Linked DNA regions of Cricetulus griseus. The protein of the gene in region 2 purifies or fractionates together with the protein of the main gene of each other region. This does not show direct contact. Links are inferred from orthologs where the notes say so. Each region holds a gene or a part of one and is shown on either strand. Other genes may lie near its edges.

What was found.
Region 1: the proteins of Arrb1 (region 2) and Nfkbia purify together in Homo sapiens (affinity purification with western blotting; 3 studies listed by BioGRID and IntAct, with this or other methods). This does not show direct contact. The link is inferred for Cricetulus griseus from reciprocal best matches to the Homo sapiens genes ARRB1 and NFKBIA.

What each region holds. Positions count from the first base shown.
Region 1 is NC_048598.1:146,913,042-146,919,170, reverse strand, and holds Nfkbia (NF-kappa-B inhibitor alpha), read right to left. Parts: upstream 4,213-6,129; 5' UTR 4,133-4,212; coding exon 3,906-4,132; intron 3,367-3,905; coding exon 3,258-3,366; intron 2,927-3,257; coding exon 2,716-2,926; intron 2,443-2,715; coding exon 2,354-2,442; intron 2,232-2,353; coding exon 1,971-2,231; intron 1,520-1,970; coding exon 1,472-1,519; 3' UTR 983-1,471; downstream 1-982. UniProt on the Homo sapiens protein: Inhibits the activity of dimeric NF-kappa-B/REL complexes by trapping REL (RELA/p65 and NFKB1/p50) dimers in the cytoplasm by masking their nuclear localization signals.
Region 2 is NC_048596.1:99,978,869-99,985,189, forward strand, and holds the start of Arrb1 (beta-arrestin-1), read right to left. Parts: upstream 4,125-6,321; 5' UTR 3,903-4,124; coding exon 3,847-3,902; intron 1,201-3,846; coding exon 1,170-1,200; intron 1-1,169. UniProt on the Homo sapiens protein: Functions in regulating agonist-mediated G-protein coupled receptor (GPCR) signaling by mediating both receptor desensitization and resensitization processes.

The DNA.
Region 1 (6,129 bases), on a different chromosome or scaffold from region 2:
TGAGGGCTGGCTCCCTTTCGGTAGAAGAGGAAGGTGACCGCCATACTTATTTGACATCGTATGTGGATCCAGACCAGGATAGTGAAGCATAGTAGCAATATTTTCTTAGCTGAAACACATTCATTTTATTTACCTATCATTCTGCATTTGACATACTGTCACCTTACTCCTTTCTCCCAAAAAACATTAAGTACCAAGCACCTAAGTGCAATTTTCACGTTACTGACTTATTGTGAAATTGACTTTGGCAGAATCATTCAGTAGAATCAGTACACTGCCCTGATGAAAAGATTTCTCTGAGCTTACTAGCCCTGAGACTACAGTTAGGCAAAACAGATGCATGGCCTTATGGTTAACAGCCTAAAGACAAGGACTTAGGTAAGTGAGCCAGCTTCCTCTCCTCAGGGTGTCCTTGCACAAGCTGTTCTCTGGCTCTCTTGCTTCCCCCGTGAAACACAGGATGTTGTACAATAGCTGTGTACTTTTTTTTCCCTAAGCACTAGATGCCTGATACTGTCTGTATTTTAGTCTTGTGCAATGTCTACAACAGCCCAGTCAATAAATAAGAAGTCTCAGAGGTTGACTGTCTGCTAGATGGCAGGAGTACTTTCCTGAGCCCATGTCCACTCTTGAGAATTTTCCCAGCTATATCAAATGAATTCAGCAGATTCCCTCTTGTCCAAACTCAGTTCAGTGACAAGTAGGGTTCTGGAACTGCTTAAATCAAGGCGAAAATGACAATAGAGCCTTCAGTGACAGGCCAGGTGGTTTGTTGGTACCCCAGCCCAAGGCTGGCATTTCCTGTCACCCTAGCAGCCTCCCACCCACACAGGGGTTGGAGGGCGGCAAAGCTTTGCTGGGGAAAGGCTGGGCTTACGTGAGGAGCTGCTCTGGGCTTCCTTAGCTGACTGGGCATCACCCCCTCAGCTCTCAACCTCCAGGAACAAGCTACTCTCAAAATAGAAAATGAGCAGGACAATGCTGTCTGTAAAAATCTGTTTAATAAATATACATCTTAGAAGTACCAAAATAATTACCAACAAAATACACCATATACAACATTTACAAGAGGGTAACAAAAACCTCAGTCGGGAGTGACTAGCACATACCACTCAACACCTGGTTCTACATGTGAGGACATACCAGGCTCAGCTACCAGATCTACCGTTCAGTCAAAAGCACAATAAATAGAATGTGGTCCCTTTCATCAGTCTGGAAAACCACCTCCCAAAACCTCACGAATGTGAGCTTTAAAAGACATTTTCTTTGAATTCCAATGATCTGTTTCCCCATTTCACAAAAATAACAATCTGCCATCACCAGAGTAAGATGCTTGGGGGCAGGCTGTGTGCAGTGTGGTGGTAAGTATATCCCTTTCTTTCTTTTTTTTCTTCTTTTCTTTCTTTTTAGAAAAATAAAACTCTTGTTTTATACAAATATACAAGTCCATGTTCTTTTTGACACTTTCCACTCATAATGTCAGACGTTGGCCTCCAAATACACAGTCATCATAGGGCAGCTAAAACAAGAGGGGAAAAAAAAAAGGCATATTAAATTCCTAGAACTTTGCCAAGACATTGGGATGAGGGGAGGGGACTGCTTCTGCAAATAACTCACAATCTTGGACTCTTTCCTCCTTAACCCAAATAGAATGAATCCCCCATGCTGTCGGAGTTTTCCTTCATTGATTCTCTCCCTTAAAAACAATCTAAGCTACGGCAGGAGGTGTAGTTCAATGGCAGAACACATGCCTGTTACCACGTGTTAAGGCCTGGGTTCAAACTCCAGAACCTCCCTTCACCTCCAAGGGTTAAAACAAATCAGAGAGACAAGTTCTTGGGATACTGGTTTTGCAAGCTGCGTTTCGTTAAATAATTATGTTGAGATCCCTATAATAAAGACTAGTTCTGCTCTAGGGACGGGAGAGGGGTGAGGGAGAATGGACCATTCTGGTAGTGACGAACACTCACCTCATCCTCCGTGAATTCTGACTCTGTGTCGTAGCTCTCCTCATCCTCACTCTCGGGCAGCATCTGAAGATTTTCCCGGGTCAGCTGGCCCAGCTGCTGCTGTATCCGGGTACTTGGTCGGCCCCAGGTGAGCTGATAGGGGGAGTAGCCTTGGTAGGTCACTCTATTGACGTCAGCACCACACTTCAACAGGAGCGACACCAGTTCAGGGTTCTGCAGGTCCACTGCCAGGTGGAGGGCTGTCCGGCCATTGCAGGGCTCCTGAAACCAAAGCAATCAGACATGTTTAAGGCCACATCTGGAAATCCACTTGCAGTAAGAACAAGTCTGGAAGAGTTCAGGAGGAACCTGACTGGCTCCAACTAGAAGGGAACTGCACTCACCTGGGCATTGACATCGGCACCCAAAGACACCAAATGCTCCACGATGCCCAGGTAGCCATGGATGGAGGCGAGGTGCAGACACGTGTGGCCTAGAGGAATAAGAGACAAAAAATATAACTACTTGTTTCAATTGTCACACAACTCGTGCCCTATTTTCTTATGGGACAACCACAAATATCCTCAATTCTTAAGAACTCAGAATTTGAGTTTTGACTGAACATTATTATAAGGACATCAAGAAGGGATTTTTTTTAAAGTCCATATTGTCTGAACGTTTTATGTTGAGAGTTTAGGCTCTAGCCTAGACTCAAGTGGGCCCACCTCTCCCTTCTCTGTGTCCTGGGATGGACTGATAGACCTACCATTGTAGTTGGTGGCCTGCAGGATGGAGTGGAGATGCTGAGGTGTGCACGTCTGTGTCAGGACTCCTACACTGGCCAGGCAGCCCTGCTCACAGGCAAGATGTAGAGGGGTATTTCCTCGAAAGTCTCGGAGCTCAGGATCACAGCCAGCTTCCAAAAGTGCCTCAGCAATTCCTGGCTGGTTGGTGATCACAGCCAAGTGAAGTGGAGTCTACAAACGGAAGAGGAAACAGAACGGGGATAAGTCATGGAGCAAATCCATAGTCTTGAGTTTCCTGAACCCCAGACAACTCCTTGTGAATTCTGCTCCTCCCTGATGGCTACAGGGGACCAGGCAAACATGAAGCCCCAGTTGGGTCGTAAAGACCTCACCAAACCCCTGGGATTTTCTTCAAGCTCTAAGATGTTGGCTAATTTGAATGTAAAAGGCCAGGGCAGATAAGGGCTCAGTGACTATTAATTTAGAAACACTTTGGGGGCGACTGAGCTAACATCCAACTCCACCACCAGGTCAAAGAGGGCACGGCTGGGGCAGCGCGCACCTGCTGCAGGTTGTTCTGGAAGTTGAGGAAGGCCAGGTCTCCCTTCACCTGCCGAATCACTTCCATGGTCAGAGTCTTCTCTTCATGGATGATTGCCAAGTGCAGGAACCTGAGGGATGACAGGGAAAGCCCCCGAGGGGCGGTGAGCGCACTGCGTGGGGGCCCCCAAGAGGCGCGGGCTGCGGGGGATTGCGCAAGGCCGGGGTTTCTGGAGGCCGCGGCCGCGGTGTTTTCCGCGAGGTTATTATGAGCTGAGTGTTCCTGGCAGGGGCCCAGGGACTTTCCGTGCCCCACCCCCTCCGGGCGGGCGCCGGCCAGACCGGCCCGCCCTCCGCCGCCCGGAACGCCCTGTACTTCCCCTCGCGGCCGCGCGGCGCCCGGCGGCTGCGCGCACAACTGCCAGGCCGGGACTTGGCGTCCCCGCGGCCGCCCCGCCCCGCCCCCGGCCTGCGCTCGGCTACGCCGGGTCCCTGGCAGGGGAGGAGAAGGGGGATGGGATGGGGAGGCAGGCGACCTGGGCGCTCGCCATCCCCGGGAGCCCCGTCGTGCTCCCTCCGTGCAGAGCCCCGAGCGCGCTGCAGGTCCCCACCGCACCCCACCCCAGGCCTCCCGCGCGCGACCCCGCCGCCCGTGCCCGCCGCCACTTACGAGTCTCCGTCCTCCGTGAGCTGCTGCTTCCAGGGCTCGGCGGCCAGCGGCGCCTCCTGCGGCTGCAGGCGGATCTCCTGCAGCTCCTTCACCATCTGCTCGTACTCCTCGTCCTTCATGGAGTCCAGGCCGCTGTCGTGGCGATCGTCCACCAGCCGCTCCTTCTTGAGAGCGTCCCGCGGGCCCTCCATGGCCCAGTCCTGGCCGTGGCCGGCTGGCTGAAACATGGCTGCGCGGGGCTGCGTGCGGGGCTGCGAGCTGCAAGCTGCTGGCGGCTGGGCGGCGAGTTGCGACTGTTGTGGGCTCGCCAGCGCCGCCGCGCCGCCCTATAAACGCTGGCAGGGGATTTCTCAGGGGCGGGGTCAGGCTCGGGGAATTTCCAAGCCAGTCAGACTAGAAAAAGAACTGGCTCGTCCTCGACTGAGAAGCCTAAACCCAGGGCCGGGGTTCATTGGAGAAACTCCCTGCGATGAGCCACTGGGGTCATGCACAGGGAACTTTTTGATGAGCCCTGAGTGGCTGGAAAGTCCTCCGGACCAGGCCCCCTCCCTCTAGGTACTTCCCTGCAGCCTGCACTCAGTAACCCCAGGCCTCTGCAAGAACCCTGCTTTCCCTGGGGTTTCCCACCGTTGTCGATTGGATGTGGGGTCCTCAGCTGTTGAGATCCCAAGGACGCAGACCCGCTGGGCGGTTCCTCTTAGCGATTTGCCAATTTGCAGGTCCTTTCCGGTTTTTGATCTTTTGAAAACCCACGAGTGGAAATGCTGGCTGACTGCAGGGATTCGCTTCTCATAAATTTCTTCGAGGAAGGAGACATGAGTGTCACTAGGCCGTCTGTGTTTTGCCCATTCCAGGCTCTAGGCACTGCAGGGACATTTGGCCGTCCCTCACCCCCACCCCATGAAGCTGGGAAGCTTTGACATTAAAAACACCCAAGCGCTTGGAGAACCCCTAGAATATTAAATAGGGTTCGATAATCTTGTCTCCTGGGGGAGGGCGAACTCTAGCTATGTATGGAAAAAGTGTTAAATAGAAACCACATTTTTTTTTTTAAAAAAAGTAGAGCAAGGTGTAGTAGTGTTTGCAGTAGAAGTTGTAGCTTCCTAGCAACAGTAACTGTTGAGTTCTTGTGTCAGATTTACCACTTGCTGCAGAGAATGGAGTCTGAGTTTATGGTGAGTGCCTAGCGGAGCAACTGGCTTAGTACTTTAGCCAAGGCTGGCCCTTAATTATAGCTAAGAAAGTAGCTGCAAGGCATCCTGTAGGATGCTCAAGGCAGTCCTCACATTGACCACATCTGAACCCTGCTGGCTCTTCCAGGGTCCTTGCTCCCCAGGGAAGGCAGCATTGTGGGTAGCTACTCCCCAGAGAAAGGGATTTGGTCCTGTGATGCACTAGTTTTACCTGCAGAAATAGAATATCTGCTTTCACCCCTTCTCCACTTAGGAGCCTGCAATCTGTCAACTCCCTCTAGAATTAGCTCAGGAGAAGTAAGGCACCTTGGGTCAGACTTTGTCAGAAACAGACCCAAGAGGCCTCTGTAGTTCCTCAGATTTCTGGTGAGACTTGATCTTTTTCTTGATGAGCCATATACCAACTCTCCTTTCTCTTCATAATTCCATCCCCTTCCCCAGTATATGGATGTGAGGACACTGGGGGAAAGATGTAAAATCCATGAAAAAACAAAACAAAACCTCCAGATAGTAAGGATCCCATGTTAAAATGAAACTTTCCCAGTGAGTTCTGTTCATCAACCCTGCAGGCTTGCTCTGCACATATACAATTATTGAGGCCAAGTGAGACTGATTGTAAGTAGGAGATCTCAATTCCAGGCTCTGTCTTTCATTAAATACATTAGTGGGAGAAGCCATTTGCCTTTTTGTGTGTATGTGGTATGCTTGCTTTTATAGTAGTGGGGTTGGATTTGTGCCCATGAGATAATTAGAGCCAGGGTTCACATTGTAGCCCCAGGTTGGTCTGAAACCTGGTTGTCCAGGTTAATCTGTTGGTAAGACTTCTGCCTCAGCACCCCCCAGTGCTGGGATTGCAGCTGTAGACTGTCAGTCCTGACATATTTGAGATACTCTGTGGCTTCAAAATTGTATCATTTGTCTACAAATACATGCCCCGCTCTGCTTTGGAAGTATGAGCATGGGCTTTTGGAAAATCACAGTATAAATTTTTGGAGGAATCCCAGCCCTTTATGCATCACACTGTTAGTTCT
Region 2 (6,321 bases):
CCTGACCATTCTACTCCATCATGTTCTTCAAGGGAGACCACATCAGTCCCTTTGACATTTGGTAGCCTCCAGCTGCTCACATCACCTTAGCCACACCTAAAACGCAAATCTAAGCAAGCAGCTGTTTCAGACAGCTGTGCCTTTCTGAAAACCCTTTAACCATTTCCCTTGCCTCAGGGGTAAGGATGACAGTCCGATTTCATTCTCAGTACCAAATCTAATTGACTGGTCTGGGATGCCTGTGGCCCTAGATTGCCAAGGAATCCAAGATAGGACTGATCCTGGCTCAGCAGGAGAGGTTAAAGATGATTAACGATGGACTCCAAATGGAGATATAGACATGCAGAAGGCAACCCAGGGTGTGTGAGCTGCTAAGCCCAGCCACAGGAAACTGCCATGTGCCCTGTGTCATCCTCTACACTGTTCCTTCATTTCGCTTGGAGACTTACAACCCTGGGATGCCCCACACTTTCTTGGATTTTATGCTCAACCCTAGAGATCCCCCTCTTCACCTAGCTTTGCCTAGAACTGTGTCACCTCCAGAAGAAGCCATGGTTGACACACACATCCCAGGCAAGGTCTTCCAGTCCCTGGGCATCCCAGAATCTCACACTTGGCATTCTGTGTGAGATGATCAACTTTCACACTGGGAGCACCATGCCTCTCTTATCTTGGTACCCTCCCAACCCCCAGCAGTCCCAGCCCCGACCTAGCATAGATGTCAGTACTACCTGTTTGCTGAACAGAGTAAAATGGGATACAGCCTACAGCCTGTGCAAGCAAACAAGAAGCCCAGGCCCTGGGAGTCCCAGAAGAAAGATGGATGGATGAGGTGACACCATGACCTCTCACACCAGGGGACTTGATGGTGTCACAGTGGCCAGCTTGCCTCAGTTTCTCACACTCACACTGATGTCTCTTTGGGAGAAGCCAGTCCATCTCTCCCCCAACTGGGGCTCCCTGAAGCCCACACAGAAAGTTTCCAGGGAGCTCTCCCCCCCACATCCCACACATCCCATTGGGCTCCTATGGCCCTCAGGACAGAGCTGTGTCAGCCCTAGACAGCTAACAGTGCCTGTCTCTCCCAGGAGATGCTGCTTCCTTTCCTAATCCACAGAGGCACCCAGAGTGTGGGAACAGTGAGGAGTCAGCACACACTACAGACTCACCTTTCCATTGGGGCTTGCCTTCTTGAACACTCTGTGAAAAGAAAGAGAGGCCAAGCCAGGGTTAATGGATTCTGCCCAGCCAATCTCTTGCAGGCGACCCTAGACAGGGCCATAGATAAAGGCCTTGAGTGTCCTACAGGGACCAGCAAAGCCTCAGAGCAGGACAGCTTCCTTCCTTCCACCTCTCCTCCTAGGATGAATGTTAGCTGCCTGCAGCCCTCCTTCAATCCTTCAGAGTGGGCTGAGGGAGACTCACAAGCCCACCCAGCTCGAGTAAAGGAAAATCCTTCAGTGCCTGCTAAGTCCCAGTGATCTGACCTGGCCTCTTTCCCTCCCTATGTCACCTCCTGCCACCCTCCCTTAGTCTCCAGCCTCACTGCTCTCCAGCCCCTCTGTTCCTCGTTCCTTATCCACCAGGTGATTGCTGCACAAGGCCTTTGCTCCCAGTTTCCCCTACCCTACTCTCTTACCCTGGACACTCTTCCCAAATGCCCACTTTCCCAATCCCACTACCCCTGTCAGCCAGTCCTTCTCTTGATTCACTCTTCCTTTCTTCCCAGCAACCCCCTGACCATATACTTTACTTCTTGCCCCACCTGTCTGCTCTGCTGGCATGCCCGCTCCAAATATGCCCACTGTCTCTCCTGTCCACGGGTACATCCCAAACACACACAAAGGCACACGTCACTATTGTTCAAGAAATACTTGTTAAATGATTGAGGGTGGCAAGAGTACAATATAAACTAGTTGAACAGATAAATGAATGAATTTCATTGCTTCACTGAGGGACAGAGGCACAGGAATGTGGGGGCAGATGCCTATGCTCGAATAGCAGAGCACTGGGCCTGAGATTAGATGGTAATGTAGTCCCTAAATCCTGAAGAGTGCCACTTGCCTTTCATGGCAACCTTTCCCCTTCTAGAGCTGTGTCTGGGAACCCGAGTCTCCCTCGCCTAAGTACCTTTATCCAGCCCACAATTTCTCAGCCATTACTGGGGAGAGGCAGAAGAAAAGTGAAAGCTAGAGAGATGGGGATGAGGAAAGGTATTGAAAGGAGGGGAGGTGTGAAGAGAGAAGAGAGAGACAGAGGTAGAGGTATGAAAATAAAAGATGAACAAGAGACAGGAGGAGAAGAAAACCAGGGAAAGAATCAGAAAGCCTGAAGCAGGGAGAGATGGGACAGACCCAGAAAGGTGAAACCCCTAGGCAGCCTCAGCAGGGTGTGCCCCAATCCTTCCCAGAAGCTGATCTGCAGGCATCCAGGCCTGTGACTGTGTGGGGTCTCCACAGCCATGGCCCTGCCTCACCCTCCCTTCTGGGACCTAGGGAATATTGACAGGTCTGAGTATTGCTTGCAAAGGAGAGCGTGGCCCAGCCTCTCCCCAAACATTCCCCTAGGGGCCCTGGGAGCCTTGTCTTCTCATTAATATTTATCAGTGTTGGGAGTGTGAAGAAGCCACAACTGGCCAGGGTGTGATAATTGTTAAAGTAAGGGGAAAAAAATGCAGACCACTCCATCTGAACCAGCAACTCCAAGCTAGAAGCTAGGAGCTCCATGTTTCTCCAGGAAACCAGAGAAGTGAAAACCCTGTGGCTTCCAAGTCACAATTACCTCCAGCCCTTGGTAGCCTGTGCTCTAAGGAAAAGGAAAGATCTCACACCCAGGCAGGATAAACAACTGAGAGAGAAAGCCACTCTAGTGGCTGCCGGGAAGGACGAGGCACACGTGGGGCCAGGAGGAGCAATATTCACCAAGCAGCGGAGAGAGGCAAAGGGGAGGGGAATTAAAGCTCTGCCGAGCAGCTCATTATTTCTCATAGTAGAAAGGATAGTCTAACTCCCACTCCACAGATAATTAACTGGAGGCTCCAAGCGATGCATTAACTTGCCCAGGAGCACAGCAAGCAAGGGGCTAGGTCGGGACCCAGACTCACTTCTGACTGGGCCTCCAGAGATTGGTGCCTTAATCCAACCCACTGTTTCCTAAATCCATGTTTCAAAACGGCAGGAAGAACAGACAAGAGGGGAGGGAGAGAGGGATAAATGAAAGGTGACTGGGGTGAGGGGCAGAGTGGGGCTGAAGAGGGGCAGGAAGCACAGCCATCAGTGGGGAATGTCCTGCCACTACCTTAGTCAGCACCCGAGGCCACCTCCTTCAGGAAGCCAGGACTCTTGTGGCTTCCTCAAACAACAAGAGCAGCTGCCTCATTCTCTGTCTGTTTATTATTCCCCACTCATGCCTTTAAGTACTTTTCCCAGGACAAGGCTCTTCCTGGACAATCCCATTTCAAAGATGGAGACATTGAGGCTCGAAGAGGCACCCACGAGACTCAACCACTCCATCACATAGCCAAGCACCACCACTCAAAACTCCACTCACTTCTTGCCCCAACACTGTCAGAAAAGAGGCTCTATGGGGTATTTTCCGTTTCCACAACCCCACGTGTGCAACACCGCATAGACCTCTCTGCCCGTGGCCTAACCTAAGCCCACAATCCCAGCCAGCCTTGCTGAGCAGCTGCGTCTGTTCACCCCCAGCCTTGCCTGTGCCCCACAACCTGAGCCTTAGTCACAGCTGGGTTCCCCAAAGAGAAAGACCAGCAGTGTCCTTCCTGGTTAAGGTTCAGGATAGCTCGAGAAAGAAGAGGAGGTCCTAATAAGGAGGCCAAAATCTCACGGGAAGGATGAGCAGGCAGGATGCGCTGGGGCCGGAGCTGAGAATGGGGACGCCATCGGAGCCTCAAGCCGTAGCTCCCTGTCTCCACCGCTCCTTCTGGGGCTGCTGCAGGGCCTCCTGGCTGCGAGGCTGTCTGTGCGGCTGCTCCATTGTCTCTGTGGACCAGCGCGCCCCGCTTACTCAGGGATTTTTCTGCTCCTCCATCCTTTGGGCTCGCATGTGACTCACACTCCAACCCTGTTTCTACCCTGCCTCTCACTCAGCTTCCCGCTGCTAACTGACTGAATGGCCCAATTCCAAATTCCCAGGAGAGGAATCTGATTGGTCAGCTTTGATTAGGTACCCCACCCCCTGGCCCAATCACCTGTGTCCAGGACATAGCCTGTGGTCCATGAAGCATGAGCAGAAGAGGCTCTGGAGATTAGTATTGTCCAAACCAGAGGTTGCAAGTCACTGGTTGATTAGGAAACCTACTTAAAACATTACAGGTCGGAGAGCTGGCTCAGTGGATAAATCGCCTGCTTCACAAGCATGAGGACTTGAGTTCAGATGCCCAGTACCCATGTAAAAGCTATATGTGGCAGGCTGCACCTGTAACCTCAGCACTGGGAAGGCAAAGATAGGCAGATCCCGGGGGCTTCTGTGGCCACACAGTCTGGCCTACATAAAGAGCTCTGGGTTCACAGAAAGCTCCATGTTTAGTGATGGGCCCTGTTTCAAAAAATTAGGTGAAGAATGATAGTGGAAGACATCCATAGTTGACCTCTAGCCTCTACGCACACATACACATACAGTACGTACATACACAGAGATCCTTTTTTTTGAGGCAGGGTCCTGGAACTCAAATACAAACAAGCTGGCTTCAGACTCACAGTGATTCTCCTGCCTCTGCCTCTCAGGTGCTGGGATTAAAGACATGCGCTCCTATGCCTGATTATATTTTGAGGTTGGTTGTTTGTTTTCAAGACAGGGTCTCACAAATGTAGCTCTAGCTATCCTGAAACACACTATGTAGACCAAGCTAGCCTCAAACTCAGAGATCCTCCTGCCTCAGCCTCATAAGTGCCACTACACCTGGCTTTATTTTTTGATTTTTAATGAAATGGGATGGACTAGACTATAGAAACAAGTGCTACAGGCAACAAAGATGTACTAGATACTCCCTACAGGCACCAGGATTCCCTGAGGCTGGATGTATGGGATGCCAGGCATCTTCCTTCCTGTGGAGTTGGACGCCCCCCTGTGGCTTATTCTGACCAATGAAATGCGGGTGCAAATGTCACATGCCACTTTCAGCCAGAGGCACAGAAGGAACCATCCATGGGTCCCCAAACCCTTCAAGCTCATTTTCTGTGGCTGCTATTTACAAAGTCCCACGAATTCAGTGGCTTCAAACAACACAAACTTAACTAGAGTTCTGTGCTTCAGAAATTCAAGTGGGCTTCCTTGAGCTAAAATCAAGGTGTCAGCAGCCCTTGATTACTTCTGGGGGGTTCTAGGGCAAATCTGCTTCCTACTCTCTCTGGCTTCTGGAAGCCTCCTCCTTCCTCCATCTTCAAAGTCAATGAGAGAAGGTGGCCTTCTCATTATATACGGCATCACTCAGATCTGCCCTCCCTTTCCTTTTGAAAACCATTGAGATGACACAGGGACCATCTGGGTAATCCAGAATGATCTCTCTGTTTTAAGGTCATCGGATTAGCAGCCTGAAGCCCATCTGCAACCATCATTACCCATTGCCACATAGCACAACATTCAGAGGCCCCAAGGAGTAGGACCCCGACATCTTGGGACAAAGCATTGCTTTGCCTACCACACTGTCTTTCTGTGGCTGCTAAATTCAGCAATGTTCTGGATATTCTGCTACATGGTAGTACAAACAGAGAGGCTTGAGTCCTGTCAGATACATGATTGTAAAATTTGAAATCCTGAGCTGGGTGATGATGGCTCATACCTTTAATCCCAGCACTCGGAGGCAGAGGCAGGTGGATCTCTGAGTTGGAGGCCAGCCTGGTCTACAGAGAGAGTTCCAGGACAGGCTCCAAAGCTATCCTGAGAAATCCTGTCTCGAAAAAACAAACAAAAAATTTGGAATCCTGAGGCATGTGTTACAGCAGCAGACCAGCTGGAACCCAACAAGGAGAATGCCTATGATAAACCGATCCTGAAATTCACAGGGGAATGCAAGGGAGAAGAACTGCCAAAACAATCCTGAAAAGAATAGGACAAATTTGGAAGGCTTGGACTTCTCAACTTCAAAACTTACTACAAAGATACAGTGATTAAGGGGGCTGGAGAGATGGCTCAGTGTTTAAGAGCACACACAGCTCTTCTAGAAGACCTGAGTTTAATGCCAGTATCCACACCGTGCAGCTTACAGCCACCTGTAACTCCAGCTCCAGGGGTATGACTCCTCTGGCCTCTTCAAGCATCTGCACACATGTACACAGACAAACACATTAATAAAAACAATAA